Linked DNA regions of Caenorhabditis elegans. The protein of the gene in region 1 purifies or fractionates together with the protein of each later gene. This does not show direct contact. Each region holds a gene or a part of one and is shown on either strand. Other genes may lie near its edges.

Region 1 (9,268 bases):
AAAAATTTTAAGAATTAAAGTAAGATCTTGTGCCTAGGCCTAAACCGAATCCTAAGCCTAAGCCTTCGCCTAAGTCTAAGACTAAACCTAAAAATGTAACCATGTTCATTAATTTCAGATTCGAACATCAAATGATACAATAACTTTCAAAGTGGACGATCAAATAATTCGACGACCATTTGATTCAACACAAAATAATATCAAAATCCTAATACCTCAAAAAGTTGCTTGCTGTTTAATTCGAGCACTTTTCCTTAATAACTCCGATCTCGATGCCTATACATCAGTTTCAACTAGATTTTTCACTTCATCAAAATCATCATACAAAAGAATTCTGGAAGTTTTTGGATCCACGTCATCTTCTCTTGTTCTGACTACAACTCCATCTACATCAACTTCTAGAACAACTACAAAAAACGACACGAATAAATGGAGTAAGTTCACACTTGGCAAGAATCCAACTGTGAGCAGTAGTACAAGTGAACCGAAAATGGAAAGTTCGTGGACTCATGCAGTGAATAAGGAATGGTCAATCACATTTGTACTTTGTTCTGTTATTGTTTGTACTATTATGCTTTTTCTTGCTGTTTTCGGAACTTTTACAGTTTTCTATCTAATGACTAAGCCAAGAGGTGGTAAATCTCCATTTGCAGTTGATGCTTGAATATGTGATTTAAAATAATATTTCTTTCCAATTTAAAAAAACCCAATAAATTTATCTGAAAATCGAACCGAGATCAAAACATTATTACACATACAAATATACTCGTCTCATCATTAAAAATTCTATAAAACAAGCAAAACATAAAACATGATATAAGTGGAAATCTATATTACAAGAACTCGTCGCGTACTTCATTCGGCACGACGTTGTTGGCAATCGCGTCCCTAATTGTCTCTCCACTGAGAAGTAAAAGTCGAGCGAGGCGTTGTCGTGCAAGAACCGTTCCAACTGATGTAACATAGATCATATCAGACTTCCGAGTTCCAGTGATTTCGCGAGGAATTATTTCTTTGACACCAGACCAATCCTGAAAGTTTTTCACTAGAAACGAAAAGTATTTTCGAACCACTTACCTTCAAAGATTGCAATATTCTACTCCTACTGATCGGATAATCATCGTTGTAGTTTCTCGAAGAGAACAATGACTCGTTAACTAGTATTGGATCCTTGCTTTCTGTAATCTGATCCACCGCATCCTCATCGTCCAAATGAAGCGCATCAAACCGTCCAGACACAGCGATGGAATGAAATGTACGATATGCAATCTGGAATATGTTTTTTGTTGATAGATCTGGAATATTAAAGATCGAGCTTACAAGATGTAAAGGCATCCATTGTGCACTTTTAGTAAGTATTGGCTCAACAATATCTTTTTCGTAGAAAACTCGAAGACTTATGCTTTCAGCTGATGCGAAAGATTGACTGAAATATTGAAAAATTTTTCCAACACTAGATTTTTAAATTTACCTTGCCAAATATCTGAGAAATTCGAGCATCATTGTTCCCATATCGAAATTTCTCAATATCGGAGCTTCATCTGCATCTTCTTTCTTCGAAATCCATTGCTGAAACATTGTTGTTGGCATCAGAAGACTTTTTTCATAATCAATAGTGGGATTTCCCAGGAGATCTCCGAGCCCTAGACGAATCAAAAGTCTTCCCAGCTGCCAAATCGACAAAACACTTGATGGGAGCACATTTTCTCGTTCAAGCCAAACTTTCAGGATGAACAACATTTTTATAATCTGATCTCCATAAAAATATACGTATCGTCTCAGGAAAAGCGCATCTTTGTGAGATTCAATCAAATCTTTCAATTTGAGAAACTTGTCAAACTGCCTTTCAATGGAGTTTTCGATCTCCTCTTCTAAACGAGCAGCAATTGGATATTTGCCTCGTAAAACTGCGTCATTTTTATCGAGCATCTGCAACAAAAAATTAATATATTTATTTCATAATTTTAACTTACTAATTGTCGCCTCAAATCACACAATGCATCCCAAGCAACCCAGGGAAGACTCTGTCCAATGCATCTTCCAGCCTTATTTATCTTTGGCTGCACATATGCCACGAAATACCATTGCCGAATCTTTTCATGCATTGCCTTCGTACATTTCAACCGAGTGTTCTTTCCATCATTCTCAATGTTGATTTCTTCTCCACCAAACTCTTCAAAGAATTTTGCACGAAATACAGCATACAATTTTTCATAACGAAGCTCAACGACCTTATCAGTGTGATAAAATGAATAGTCGTCTCTCTCCATTCCAGCTAATCTCTTGATACTTGCAGCATGTCCAGACACAACTGAAGCTTCGTCTTCAATTCCATATTCATCCAAAAGTTGTTGCATTCGATCAACGTATTCATCGCGAAGAGTCAATGTTTGTACAAGTTTTATTTCATTTCCGAAGAAAACATCAACGTCTTCTGGACAAATCAGTTTATCATATTCTCTTTCGAATACACTCCCGCGTGTTTCAAATTCTTCCAAAACTTCTTCAACTTTTCGAGCTTTTCGGTGCAATTGTCCATTTAATCGGGTACTGTAGTACATCGGTTTTCCACCTGACATCATATAATCAGGTGTCATTTCGCATTGCTCGAAACTTGACAATGGTTCCGCGGGAACTCCACTTTTCGGAAAATCTACAGCTACTGCACATTTGAGCGCGATGGCGTGACAATTTTCGCTGAAAAATAAGATATTGGCTTAACATGGATAATTTCAAGGAACATACTGGAAAAGTCCGTGAAGATCAGCATAAGCCAAATGAGCGTGACTCATTCTTCCAATTGAATCCTGTTGAAGGTATCGAAGGAAGAATTCAACCATATCATCTGTAGTAGGTTCTTTGTCTTCTTCTGCAGCTGAACTACTCGGAAAAACCATTGCTTCTTCATTATAATCGAGTAGCATTTCTTGATCCCATATTATAGAATACTCATCTCCATCCAAATCTGAACCTGCCATTTCATCGGGATGTGGTCGTGGGCCATGTTGTGGAAATACTACAACATCGACTAAATGAGCTAATGCTGGTTGCCAAACTGCGTCGAAAACTCGAACATCTCCAGGAACGTGACACGGATTTTTGGTAATCAAAACTTTGCCTGTTTTCAATATTGGACGGTTACTGGTTTGTCGGATACTTGGTGAATACTGGATGAAAACCTGTCCGTACTGTAAAAGTCCAGTCTCATCGACAACACCGTACATTGATCTTCCCAAACTTGGAGGCAAGAAAATTTTAGCTTTAGAAATGTGATGGATGATGTTGTAGCGATAAATAGAGAATAGCATATCTCGTATCAATGGATCTACACTCAATTCGAACCCGGCTCGTTTGCTTGCTGCGTTCCAGTCGATTGCCAAGTTTGTGCGATTGACTAGCTCTTCTGCTGCTTGATTTTCATTTATGAGCATATCTAAAATTAGGAGATTATGATTTGTAACCATACAGTAACTACATACTACTCAGAGAACATAGTTCTCTTTCCAAGTAATAATGAACACGATTTGTGATCCTTCTGTGAGAGCTTGCAGATTGTTTTTCCGACACTTGATCCAGGATTGTAATGAATGGACGGTTGAGACAAACTGGAGATGGCATAGCGTATTTTACTACTTCGAGGTATTCATCTTGCAGCTCTCCACCACCTTCACCAAACTTTTGCTGACTTTTTCTGAAAATTGATCATATAATTTGTTTGATAGATCATCACTACCTGAAGATAACTTTAGGCATATTTATAATATCATCGATTGTTGGATCAATAACTAGAATTCCTTTGAAACCTTTAAATCGCACTTGGAAACAAGCTGGTACTTCCTTCAATTGGAGAATCTTAGATATATGTGTTGCCAGTTTGATAGAAATTCGACCACAACCATCAGAAAAACAATATTTGTTCTCTACACCACCTTCAATGTCAGGTTCAACGATCCAGTGATGTCGTTCAAGACGTACCTGAATATTTTCGACTATATGAATATTTTTAACACTAGAATATACCGTTGGTTGTGCTTGTGTAAAGCATTGTCCCATTCGACTCATCATCTTTGGAACACTAATCGCATCTCGGAAATCTCCCATCCATACTCTAATATCTTCTACAGTTCCTGTGACTTCACCAGTTAATGCATTGACTCGAGGAGCGTATAAATAACATCCTTGATCACGCATTTGAGAATTACTCCATCCTAGAAAACTGTAGACACGATCAGCAACTTGAATTCCATTTTTGAGAGTCAAATAAATTCCTTCGGTGACAATATTCGACATGTCTGGAAACTTAGATAATATATTTAAAAATATTTAAAGAATTTCTTACGATCTATATTATTGATGGAAAAGTCGCGAATAGCGAGCCGGCCCAGATTGTCATCTCGGAACACACAACGAAGAGCATAATCAGGTCCAAATCTTCTAACAACTCGATTTACCATCATTACTTCTGGAGCCATTAGCAGTATTCGAGATGGTGTTACAATAACTTTAGCCACTGAAACACAATTCTTCGGCAATGGCTTTGCAAGGCCTACATCTTGAAGGCTTTCTCCTTTCAGAAGTCTTTCGTATTGAATCTTTCTTGATTGATACATTGTTGTGAACGCGGTAACTACATCGATTTGACGACGTTCATCAAATGCATTCAAAAGTTGTTCGAGAGTCTCTTCTGTGGCTTGAGAGCATTCTTTCATTCCCCTACGAACTAATTTCAGAAAGAGCGGCTCGTGTACTAATTCCATTGGCTTTTTCGTGTCATCAACATCATCGTCATCATCTTCATCATTGTCATTGTCTGAACTTGGAATATTTTCATCAGTTGCGTCGAAAAGTTGGTCCGTAAATACACTTCCGCGTGTGATTAGAGCCTGGAGAGCATAATTCGCTCGGAAAGATCCCAGAGAATGGAAAGCCGGGGATGGTGCAAGTTTTCGGCGAATTGAAAAAATGGAGCCGAACATCACTTTTGCTTTGCTTCGAGCAGAAAGTCTAGTAACAATATCCATCAATTGTGTAGACGATACCGAATCGTTATCATCATCTTTTCTCATTGTCAACCGGATCCAGGAGCTTTGCGAGAAAGCTTCAGAAGTACAACCGACACCTCGGCCCTCAGCATCGCCAGGCCAACTCAATACTCTTGTCTGAAAATTTACAAGTTTTTAAAAGTTATTTGCATACCATATCACCCATTCTGTGCACGTTTCCATATTGAGAACCTTCGACTTTGATGGGTGAAAAATCGTATTTTTCGGAATTCCTTCCCAGAGATGCGGTGGATTTTTCATTTGTATATAAATACTGTTCGTAGTTTCATGAGACATGTCGACAACAATTCGAACAAACAAATTATAATATAGATTAAGACGAAATCCGGCATGATCCAAACCATCATCAGCGAATTCGGCTAATCGAACTCCGAAATATACCACTGCCAGTCTTTTGTCATGCTCAAATCTCGCATACGAGAGGTATTTATTGCTTCCTGCCACTTTGAATGAACTGTTTTCACGGGATGCATCTGCATTATGGTGTGACTGAAGCTTTCTTAAAAACAAAAATCTGATTAGAAATTCTGTAGAATATGTGCAACTTACACACTACAAACTGTGTTTTCTTGACTGATGAAATCTCCTCTAACAAGGAAAAGTCCTGAATTAGGGCAGTTTCCAATCGCAATCGCAGAAATATTTATATCCATGTGTTGGGGTCTAAATTATAACTTGAGTATATAAAAAGCGGATGAGTATTCTATTACGTTATTTTTGTGAAAAGCGTATGCATTTTCGGGACTTCCAAAAATACTTGATCATGGAGCATTCCAGTTATTCTAGATGTGAAACTTGATGCGAACTCGGAGAACAATTCATTTTCATCTTCTACTTCACCGTTTGGCGTCAAAACTAAATGAGCATCGATGACGTATGATTTATCTTCGTACGCAGCTCGTGGCACCATCCCCACCTTGATCCAGTTTACCTCGTCAACTTTAGACTGAAATTAAATTGTTTCAAATACGGCCAATTAAAAAATCGCTTACCAATTTCAAGTGTGTTTTCAAAACATCTTTTATATTTTCCATGTGTGCTCGGCAATATCCAAAGCAATCATTATTCATGCTGCCAATGAGCTTAGCATCGAAATTCAGCTCAATCGCCTGTTTTTTACTAAACTGTCTCGTCTTCGCAACTGTTTCCGATTCTTCTGCAGCGGCCCATAACATCCGCACGAGTTTTTCTTGTTCTTCGATATTTACACCACCTCTGTGCTTCGTTTTCTCATAAAGAATGTGAGTTGATGGGAGAGAGTGCCGTTTTAGAACAGAACAGTCGACTGGTTTTGAAGTAGAAGGCCTTTGTGACTGTAGCAGGTAATCACGAAGATATCCACGATTCACTGGATACGAAAAATTGTTTAAATGATTTCCTGGAAAAGCCGACGATGAAGAGTGAACAGGCTGTTCTTGTACGTCAACTTCCGATTTAGATTTTGAATTTCGATCCATCCGAAACGTTGTCAATAGCATCTTGTTTGAATGCCCAATTGTTAAGGTGTTCACTGGAGTGCATTCTGTTTTTCGATTTGGTAAAGTTCCAGACGAAAAATTCGATCTACCACGTGGAAATGTTGATTGACTCTGAGGAACTCCTCTGGAAAAAAACATTGTTTCATTTGACTACCGTTTGCTCACCGAATTTCAATTACCTTGGATGCTTCGGCCTAACAGAAGTTGTAGCATCATCGCTAGAGTCATCATTATCAAACGGGAGCATTTTGTGAAAGACTTTTTGAAAATGGCATTTATTTTACGAAAAAAATGAGAAACAATTTTATTCAAAAATTTGATGATGTATGTTCGCTCCATTGACAATTAGCAACGAGACTCCGCAGTTACGGCTAAAATTTAAATTTGATCAAGCATTAAATCCTTTTTATTTTGTTTTTAAGCGCCTAGGCGCGCCTTTATGTTATTTAGTTAAAGTAGCTGTAACTACTCCGTGTAAGCTGTAAAATTATAATCTAAAAATAAGACTATAATCTCAACACTTTTTCACAACAGTTCCATTGCAATTAACGTCATTATTGAATTTCTATTTTACAATTCTTGTTGCTTAACTTAAGTTCTCTACTTACTAAACAAATATACGAAGCCTTTACAGCATGAGCGCGATCTCGCCTGATACAAAAAGTTTTGCGATTCCGACATTGGCTGATGAAGGTTCCTCAAGCAAGCCAGCATCATCTTTGTGAGTTTAATAAATAACATTTCTTTTTCAAACTACAATTTTTCAGAGATTTGCCGAAACACGAGTCTATTCGTTTCAAGCCGATTAAAACACTTGCAAGTAGAATTGATGGATCGGAGTATTATGACGAGGCGAGCATGGAGAAAGTGATGTCAGTTTGAGACCAGCATATATATTAATATGTTATATTTTTAGGGAAATGCTTGAAATCGGCAGAACCGATGAAGCTGTAGCTTACGCGGATACATTATACTCTAATATAATTGATGATGAACAGCAAGATATTGTCACCATCGCTGAATACGTAAAAATTCTCGTCGTTCTCCGTCAATGGCGGCGTATTAGCCATATTATTGCTCGTGGGAACTATCATCAGATTCACATTGTTTTTGCTTATTATGCCGCTACCGCACTTTTCCAACGGAAATTATACGAAGATGTAGCTGAATTATCGGTCGGTCATCTTCTTCCAAGTAATGGCCAAATTGGACCTCTTCCTGTTCGAACACTTTCACAAGTGACGGGGAGATATGTCGAGGAAGAAAGAATGAAGTACTCATTTGCAAATATGGCCGAATTGGATAATAGCTCTAAAAAGCTCAGAATGGTTCCAGCTCTTATGATAACCATAGCAGAAAGTTTTTTGAAATTGATGAATCGTGATGCTGCAATGATTTGTATTAATTACGCGCTGAGTCTTGTAAGTCATCTTTTATACATGATTTGACCGTGTTTTATTATTTCAGGATAATACAACTCTCCATGTCGAACGATTAATGGCAAAATACAATCTGGTTGAGCCTGCGATGTGGGAGAAGTACAGAAAAGTCAGAAATGAACAGCTGAAGTTACACGAAGGAAATCATGATCCACGAATTCTTATGGAACGTGCTCAACGTGCCTACGAGATGGGTCGATTTCGAGAAACAAAAAAAATCACTGACGAGCTATTTGATCTATTTGGACCACATCCTGAGTGCATTATTCTTCGTATTCACTGCCTAACAATGTTAAAGGATTCTCGATCTCTGCTTGAATTAGGTCATCAACTAGTTAGTGATGATCCTCATATTCCACTTCCATGGTATTGTGTTGCTATGTATTATTATAGTATTGGAGCAAACTCAAGAGCTCGAAATTTCATCAGTATGTTTCCCATTTCATTGAGGTTTAAATAGAGCTTCTTTAGGTAAATGCACGATGATGGATTCGACGTTTGCTGAAGGATGGGTGGCTTTTGGTCATATTCTTCACTATGAAGTTGAACACGAACAGTCCATGAGTTGCTATTACAGAGCGTCGAAACTTGTGGATAAAAGTTCTGAACCGTTCTTGTACACTTCTCTTCAGTACAGTACGCATAGTCAGAAGCTGAGCAAGAAGTTCATGGGAGAAGCAGTTGCTCGGGCACCGAATGACCCTCTGATTCGTCACGAAGAAGCTTGTGTAGCCTATACTGCAAAAAGTTACGCGGAAGCCGATATTTTATTCAGAACTGTTTTGTATATGGTTACAGAGACCGATGAAATCATTCCAATTGAAGAAGTCTTGAAAAAGTAAGTATCTAATTCGATGATTATTTGAGAGAAAAATAACATTTTTTCAGGAAAATCGACGACTTTTGGCACCCAATGCTCAATAACATTGGCCACATAGCCAGACGGCAAGGAAGGCTGAATGAAGCAATCATGTTTTATCAAAAAGCTATCCGAATGGAGCCAAAGTTTGTAGATGCCATTGCATCAACTGCTCTCTGTTACGCAGTTCTCGGCAACATTGATAAAGCAACTGAATTCTTCAATAAAGCTCTTGCGATCGATCCATTTAATGAAACAATCCGTCAATGTCTGTCAAAAATGATTCAAGCGTCAAAAGAAAGTTATTCTGTTGATCAACAAACGGTAAATATACTATATCTTATGTTATCTAGGTTTTTTGTTTTCAGCTCCCGCCCGCATACAACTCTGAAACATACTTCGGTGCACAAGAAATTCTTCCGTACTGTG
Region 2 (5,894 bases), 1.0 Mb from region 1:
ACTTTTCGAAAATAAATTAATTTTAAAAATTGAGCCCGTAAATCGACTCAAGTGCTACAGTAGTCATTTGAAGAATTACTGTAGTTTTCGCTACGAGATATTTTGCGCGTCAACTATGTTGCTCAATACGAATTTTCAGAATTTTGTGTAAATAATACATAAAAAGAGTTCCATTACAGCCAAAATATTTAAAAAAAATTTAAAAATAATGTTTCAAACTAAAAAAAAACTTTGTTCACTTTTTTGTTGTATTTTCTAACTTTTTTGTTTTAAATTTCGAAAAAATAATCTGATTCAGCTCTGGTATCATCTGAAATCGTTGAACATACCATCATCATCTGGTAAGTACTCATAAGTTGCTGAAGCAATAAGAGGTTCAAATGCACTGCTCATCATCGCAATGCAATCATTGATCATTTTAGTTCGGAATGCGGAAAGTTTTGCTCGAGATTTCTGAAAATAAAAAAAAATTGTGAAGCATAAATTTTTCATTCTCACTTCTTGAATTTGATCAACATGTTTAACTCCACATTCTTGCATCTTTTTGCCAACATTATTCAGCGTTTTTGCAATGATAAATTCGATATCTCCAACGGCAATTAAAAGTTTTTTCGTCGTTATTTCATTATTTCCTTTCTTTTGTCCAGGTTCTTGAGCCAATTGTTGAGGTCTTTGTCGAATGAATAACCGATCGAAACATATTTTTATAGAAGTGATGAGATGTACGAATAGATCAATAATTGTGTCACGGAAACGTTCTCGAGAGAAAAGGCAAGCTTCTCCAGGATATCCAGAAATGGAAAGAGCATCACGAGTACGCGTAAGGCATTCGCAAATCTGCAATAATAGATAGATCTTAATAACTTCCGTTAAATGGAAAATAACCTCATTTTCATAATAATCAGGAAGAATTGTCTTTGTTTGTTGTGCTCTGTCAAGAATATCTTGCTTCCAGTTGATTCGGTGAGCAAGAAGAGCAACTCCTGAAATTTAAATATTTTATAAAATAATATTTATCATCTTTATTGTATAAAAGTTATACTCACTTTCCACTCCACAATCTACGAAATCGGAGAGCAACTTCAATCTGGCAGTCATACACAGTTCAACTAACGGTTGAACATGAGTAAGACTGAATTGATTTTCAAGCAGTGAAGAAATCAAAGATCTTGTAGTTTTTAGACTGAGTTGAAGATTTGAACGACTAATATCAGCAGGAACTGTGGGCCACTTTGCAAATTGATCTCCGTACTGCTTCAAGACCATATCAGGAAGAGCTTTGGGAACCAGGGCGTTCAGAATCAGCCACGATGAGACGTTTATGATGTTGGTCAGCATTTGCTGAAATTATTAAAATGTTTCAAAACTCTGCTTACAATACACTAACATTAATATCCTCCAATCGTTGAATGGCATCAGGAGAAGCCGTTGAGTTATGATATGTGTTGGCAAGTTTCCAAAATGAGGGAAGTTTGCTCAATAATAATTCAACCAGCGTTGTCACAAAGTTCTGTAGCTCATTGGTTTTCGTAATCAGGTGATTCTGCGAATTGATTCTCTGCTGATTTTCAAGATCCTCTAATTTAGCTTTTTCCAAAAATTGCGTCTGCATATCCCAGAGACTTTTCTCAAGCCAGACGTAATAAGAGGTTATACAATCCCAAGTAGGGTCTGATTCTGGATCCAGAATTTTTAGATATTTGATAAGTTTACTTTGTTCTTCATATGAGACTGGAGTATCGATAAGCTTTCGTTTCATTTCTTCCTTGAATACTTGCATTTTCTCATCGATCTCAGTCATCACTGTAAATCGATCAAATCATTTTTTTTATTTTTCAAAATTGAAAAATTAAATACGTACATTCTCTAAACAACGGAACATCTGTGTCTGCATACAACGATTTTGCTCTTGTATAATCATTGAGAATTGTAATATATTCACCCTTTTTCATACTGTCCTCAATTTTCGAAGAAAGGAAAAAGATGAACTTGAATCTGACAATGACTCCGAGAGCATTTCTAGTTGCGTCTGCATCATCTTTTCGTTTTAAGACATCGGCAAACACATTTTCTGCTTTCGATTTGGAGTCTTTGATCTGAAATTTAATTTTAATTAAGTTTATTTCATTTTTTTCATCAGCTATATACCAGTTTAGAAATGTTTTTTAAAGCGGCAAAATGATCAGCATTTTCTCCTTTTTCTAACGCTTGATGAAGATTTGCCAAAGTATCCACACAATTAATCAATGAATACAAGTTTGCTTTGTGCATTTCTTCACTTCTTTTCGCTTCATTTTGCTTTGATAATTCCATATTTTTAATAGCAATTCGTAGATCTTCGATTCTGAAATCCAAAAATTAATTAAAATTATTAAACAACTTTCTTACGTGGCGTCTGCATGATTCTCTAGAAGATACCATTGTGGAGAGAAATTTTCCATTCTTAAATTGCCAGAACAATCAGGAAAATCTCTTGAGAGAAGAACTTGATCCATTCGTTTCTGACTTGGAAGTAATCCAAGTGCATCTCTTTCATCTTGAATTTGTGGAACACTTCGAATTGCTTCTCTTCCTGGAACTGTTCTCGTTTCATCTACCCAGACTGCGGATTCTTCAAGTGGTCCGATTTGAGTAATGAAGACACGAAATTTGACATTCGAAGAGCCTTTTCCACCGGATTTTGTCGCTATTCGTACTTCACCGGGACCACGTGATGCTGCACCAACTCGGGCAATAATTTTTGATGGGGATTTCCATCTGAAAATTGAGCTTCGAGATGTAAATTAAAAGAATTCGAATACTCACTTCATACTCCACAAACTGTCGATTCCACATATAAAAAGCATAATCACATCACTCTGATCATTTCCCAAGTTTTCTCCTCTTATTGTTATTTGAGTTCCAGGGACTCCTGAAAAATTATGTTTATTTAAGACCGAAATCATATTTTCTAAATTCACCTTCAGTGGGCGATAGCCCTGTTACCGTAGGAGGTAGTCTTTCCCGAGCTTGAGCGTTTTCTTCCATTTACGCTTAAAAATTATTCAATTATAATCTGATTAACAACGTTAAAGTATCATAAAATTAAAATATTTTAAAATAAATTAAAAATAAATACATGAGCCACAGATTGTCCGAGTGGAGTACACACTGATTCAATAAACAAGGCGCTAAGCGGAATGCCGGAGCCTCGTTGCACAGCAATCGTTAATTTTTTAAATTTGAGCCACTCAATCTTAATCTCAATATTTTCAGTCAGTGTCATGTCTAATTACCATCATAATCACAATTATCAGCATCGCCCACGCGGATATGAAAGGCTTCCAGGAAAGAGACTCCCAGACAGGTTTTTTTACAGTTAATTCCATAATTAGTCCCAATAGTTCTTAATTGGAAATAAATCTCTTGAGAAAGTTTTTGATAATAATTGAAAAGGGTTTCTCTGTGTGTCAAATTTTTTAAAACTAAAAAAATTTAAAGTTTCATCACATACCTTTAAACTTGTTCTTTCAAAGTTTAAATATTATCGATTTTCTCTTCAGATGGAATATTTACGATAACGTCGGCCGTGATATCGATGGGACTCGATTTGTTCCATTCAAAACACCACTAGATTCATCATTCTTCGATGGGAAAAATATGCCTGTGGAGCTTCAATTTGGTGTAAAAACATTGATTTCTCTGGCACAACAGGCTAATAAACAAATTGGATTGGTTATCGATCTCACAAATACGGATAGATATTATAAAAAGACGGAATGGGCAGATCACGGAGTCAAGTATTTGTGAGTTGGAATTTTTTAACATTTAATTTAGAAAAATCGAAAGTTTATAGGAAACTCAATTGCCCCGGTCACGAGGTGAACGAACGAGAAGATCTTGTGCAAGACTTCATTAATGCTGTTAAGGAATTTGTGAACGATAAAGAAAACGGTAGATAATTTTTTTTGAACAAAATTAAAATTTTTTTATTCGATTACATTTGCAGATGGAAAACTGATTGGCGTACACTGCACTCATGGGCTCAACAGAACAGGATACCTTATTTGCCGGTATATGATTGACGTGGATAATTATAGTGCATCCGATGCGATTTCTAGTAAGTTTTGGATCCAATAACACATGTTTTATATAATTATTTTTCAGTGTTTGAATACTACCGTGGACATCCAATGGAGCGGGAACACTACAAAAAATCATTGTACGAAGCTGAAAGGAAGAAAAAATACGGAAAAAGCAGCGGAAAAAGCAGCGGAAACTCAGCCGATTCCACAATTTCGAGTGAACAGTTGCATCGAAATAATTCTCAATAACACCCAATACTGTTGTTTGTTCTTCTAATATTACTTGTCATTTAACTGTTACGTTCTGTAAATCCGAACAAAAATCGGGTAAACTTGTTATTATTTATTAATAGATTTCTTTCTGAGTACAACACATGGAAAATAATCACAGTTTTTTTTTGAATCACAACTTTTTCGCAGGAAATTACAATAAATTAGGGCGGAAAAGAGTCAACTTTTGGTCAAATCACAGAAATTGCGAACGTGAAGATGAATGGATGGATGTGGAGAGACGGTTGGAGTGAGAGAGAGAGACAGGTTTGGAAGTGATGAGACGCAGTAAATTATGCGACAAAAAATGAGGGCTCTAGGGCAAGAAATAACAGAATACTATGATGGGAGTGAACGGGAATTCAACGAGAAAAATTTAGGAAAACATGATTAAATGATAATTAATTATTCCGATAGCTTTACTCGATCTATTCCATCAAAATCGGTTGAAGTGGGAAGTTTTGTGGATGGTGAGAATAAGCAGCGAAGTTCGGAGCAGATAACTGAGAAATTTGTGATAATGGGCTCGTTTGAGGCGGTGGAGCACCACGATTGCGGAGCGTCAAAATGGCTTCTCCCGGACACAAATGAGTTGGCCAACGTGTGAATAGGACCTGGAATTGGTTTTTGTTTTAGCTTTATAAGAAACTTATGAGTAACTTACATTATCAACAGTATGTTCCGGTGTTGTGAAATTAGCCACCAGCTCAGGAACTCCGATGCTCATATGGATACCATAGATAATCAATTGGGTAACCTGCCCTGGCACAATTGGTGAAATTGGTGGAGATGGGTAACTTGACCAGAACTGTTGTGGTTGTGGTGCCTGTGGTGGCAGCTGCCCCATGAAACCCAATGGAGCCGGTGGTGGAACCTGATGTTGTTGACCAACCAGATGATGAAGGTTAAGCTCCTCAGCAGATGCTTGGAATACTTCGATGTATCTCTTCTTTTTGCCAACAGACATAAAGTTATTGTGAACTCCAGCAGCGCAGGCAGAAGCCGCTTGCTCATTGATCATTTGAATGAATGCTTCACCTGATGGATGACCTTGATTGTTGTATACCATATGAACACCTTGGAACTTTACCATTGTTGCAAAGTCACCAAGGAATGTGACGATATGTTGCACCTGGAAGAGCATTAACTTGTGTACTAGAAAATAAGTTTTATAAAAATTTCTCTGAACATATGTTCATTTAAAACCTGTCAGGTAGGTTTTTTCAGCGCAGAAAACAAAAAAAGTTTGGAAGAAAGAGTTGTCGCTGATCCCTGCCTACAATATGACTTCGCGCCTTCTGCCAAGTTACTATGAATGATACACTTAGAAATGCGAAAGTCTATACTATTGAGCACCAACGTTTAAACTTAAAAATGCAGAAAACAGGCAACAGTCAGGCAGGCAGGAAGGCGTACCTGCCTACTAGACTCACCTAAAAGTAGTGAACCTCTTTTTCTTACTTTTTGAGCTTATATCTCGGTCATGTTGGAGATATAGAAATCTTGATATTTTGATATTTTAATCTTTAGTTTTTTATCAAACAACTCCATACTCATATA

Evidence for each region. Proteins that work in one complex are often made in the same cells at the same time.
Region 2: the proteins of rrf-3 (region 1) and pir-1 purify together in Caenorhabditis elegans (affinity purification with mass spectrometry, with the first as the bait; one study listed by BioGRID). This does not show direct contact.

Annotation. Positions count from the first base shown.
Region 1 is NC_003280.10:8,160,078-8,169,345, reverse strand, and holds rrf-3 (RNA-directed RNA polymerase), read right to left. Parts: upstream 6,882-9,268; 5' UTR 6,789-6,881; coding exon 6,721-6,788; intron 6,666-6,720; coding exon 6,056-6,665; intron 6,010-6,055; coding exon 5,774-6,009; intron 5,727-5,773; coding exon 5,613-5,726; intron 5,563-5,612; coding exon 5,205-5,562; intron 5,160-5,204; coding exon 4,340-5,159; intron 4,293-4,339; coding exon 4,021-4,292; intron 3,976-4,020; coding exon 3,734-3,975; intron 3,692-3,733; coding exon 3,480-3,691; intron 3,434-3,479; coding exon 2,746-3,433; intron 2,698-2,745; coding exon 1,974-2,697; intron 1,930-1,973; coding exon 1,472-1,929; intron 1,427-1,471; coding exon 1,321-1,426; intron 1,270-1,320; coding exon 1,078-1,269; intron 1,032-1,077; coding exon 834-1,031; 3' UTR 695-833; downstream 1-694. Other genes in the region: T05C12.11 (uncharacterized protein), read left to right, coding at 1-19, 119-664; emb-27 (Cell division cycle protein 16 homolog), read left to right, coding at 7,177-7,262, 7,309-7,413, 7,458-7,962, 8,009-8,408, 8,452-8,818, 8,869-9,163, 9,208-9,268.
Region 2 is NC_003280.10:9,174,121-9,180,014, forward strand, and holds pir-1 (RNA/RNP complex-1-interacting phosphatase homolog), read left to right. Parts: upstream 1-3,217; 5' UTR 3,218-3,263; coding exon 3,264-3,346; intron 3,347-3,542; coding exon 3,543-3,785; intron 3,786-3,828; exon of another isoform or gene 3,829-3,835; coding exon 3,836-3,933; intron 3,934-3,988; coding exon 3,989-4,099; intron 4,100-4,146; coding exon 4,147-4,313; 3' UTR 4,314-4,513; downstream 4,514-5,894. Other genes in the region: sec-5 (Exocyst complex component 2), read right to left, coding at 330-453, 499-837, 886-983, 1,047-1,341, 1,388-1,803, 1,862-2,096, 2,149-2,344, 2,389-2,757 and 2 more; RNA-binding protein sym-2, read right to left, coding at 4,763-4,948, 4,999-5,466. UniProt on the Caenorhabditis elegans protein: RNA polyphosphatase which has RNA 5'-triphosphatase and diphosphatase activities. Displays poor protein-tyrosine phosphatase activity. Binds to 5'-triphosphorylated RNAs (also called ppp-RNAs).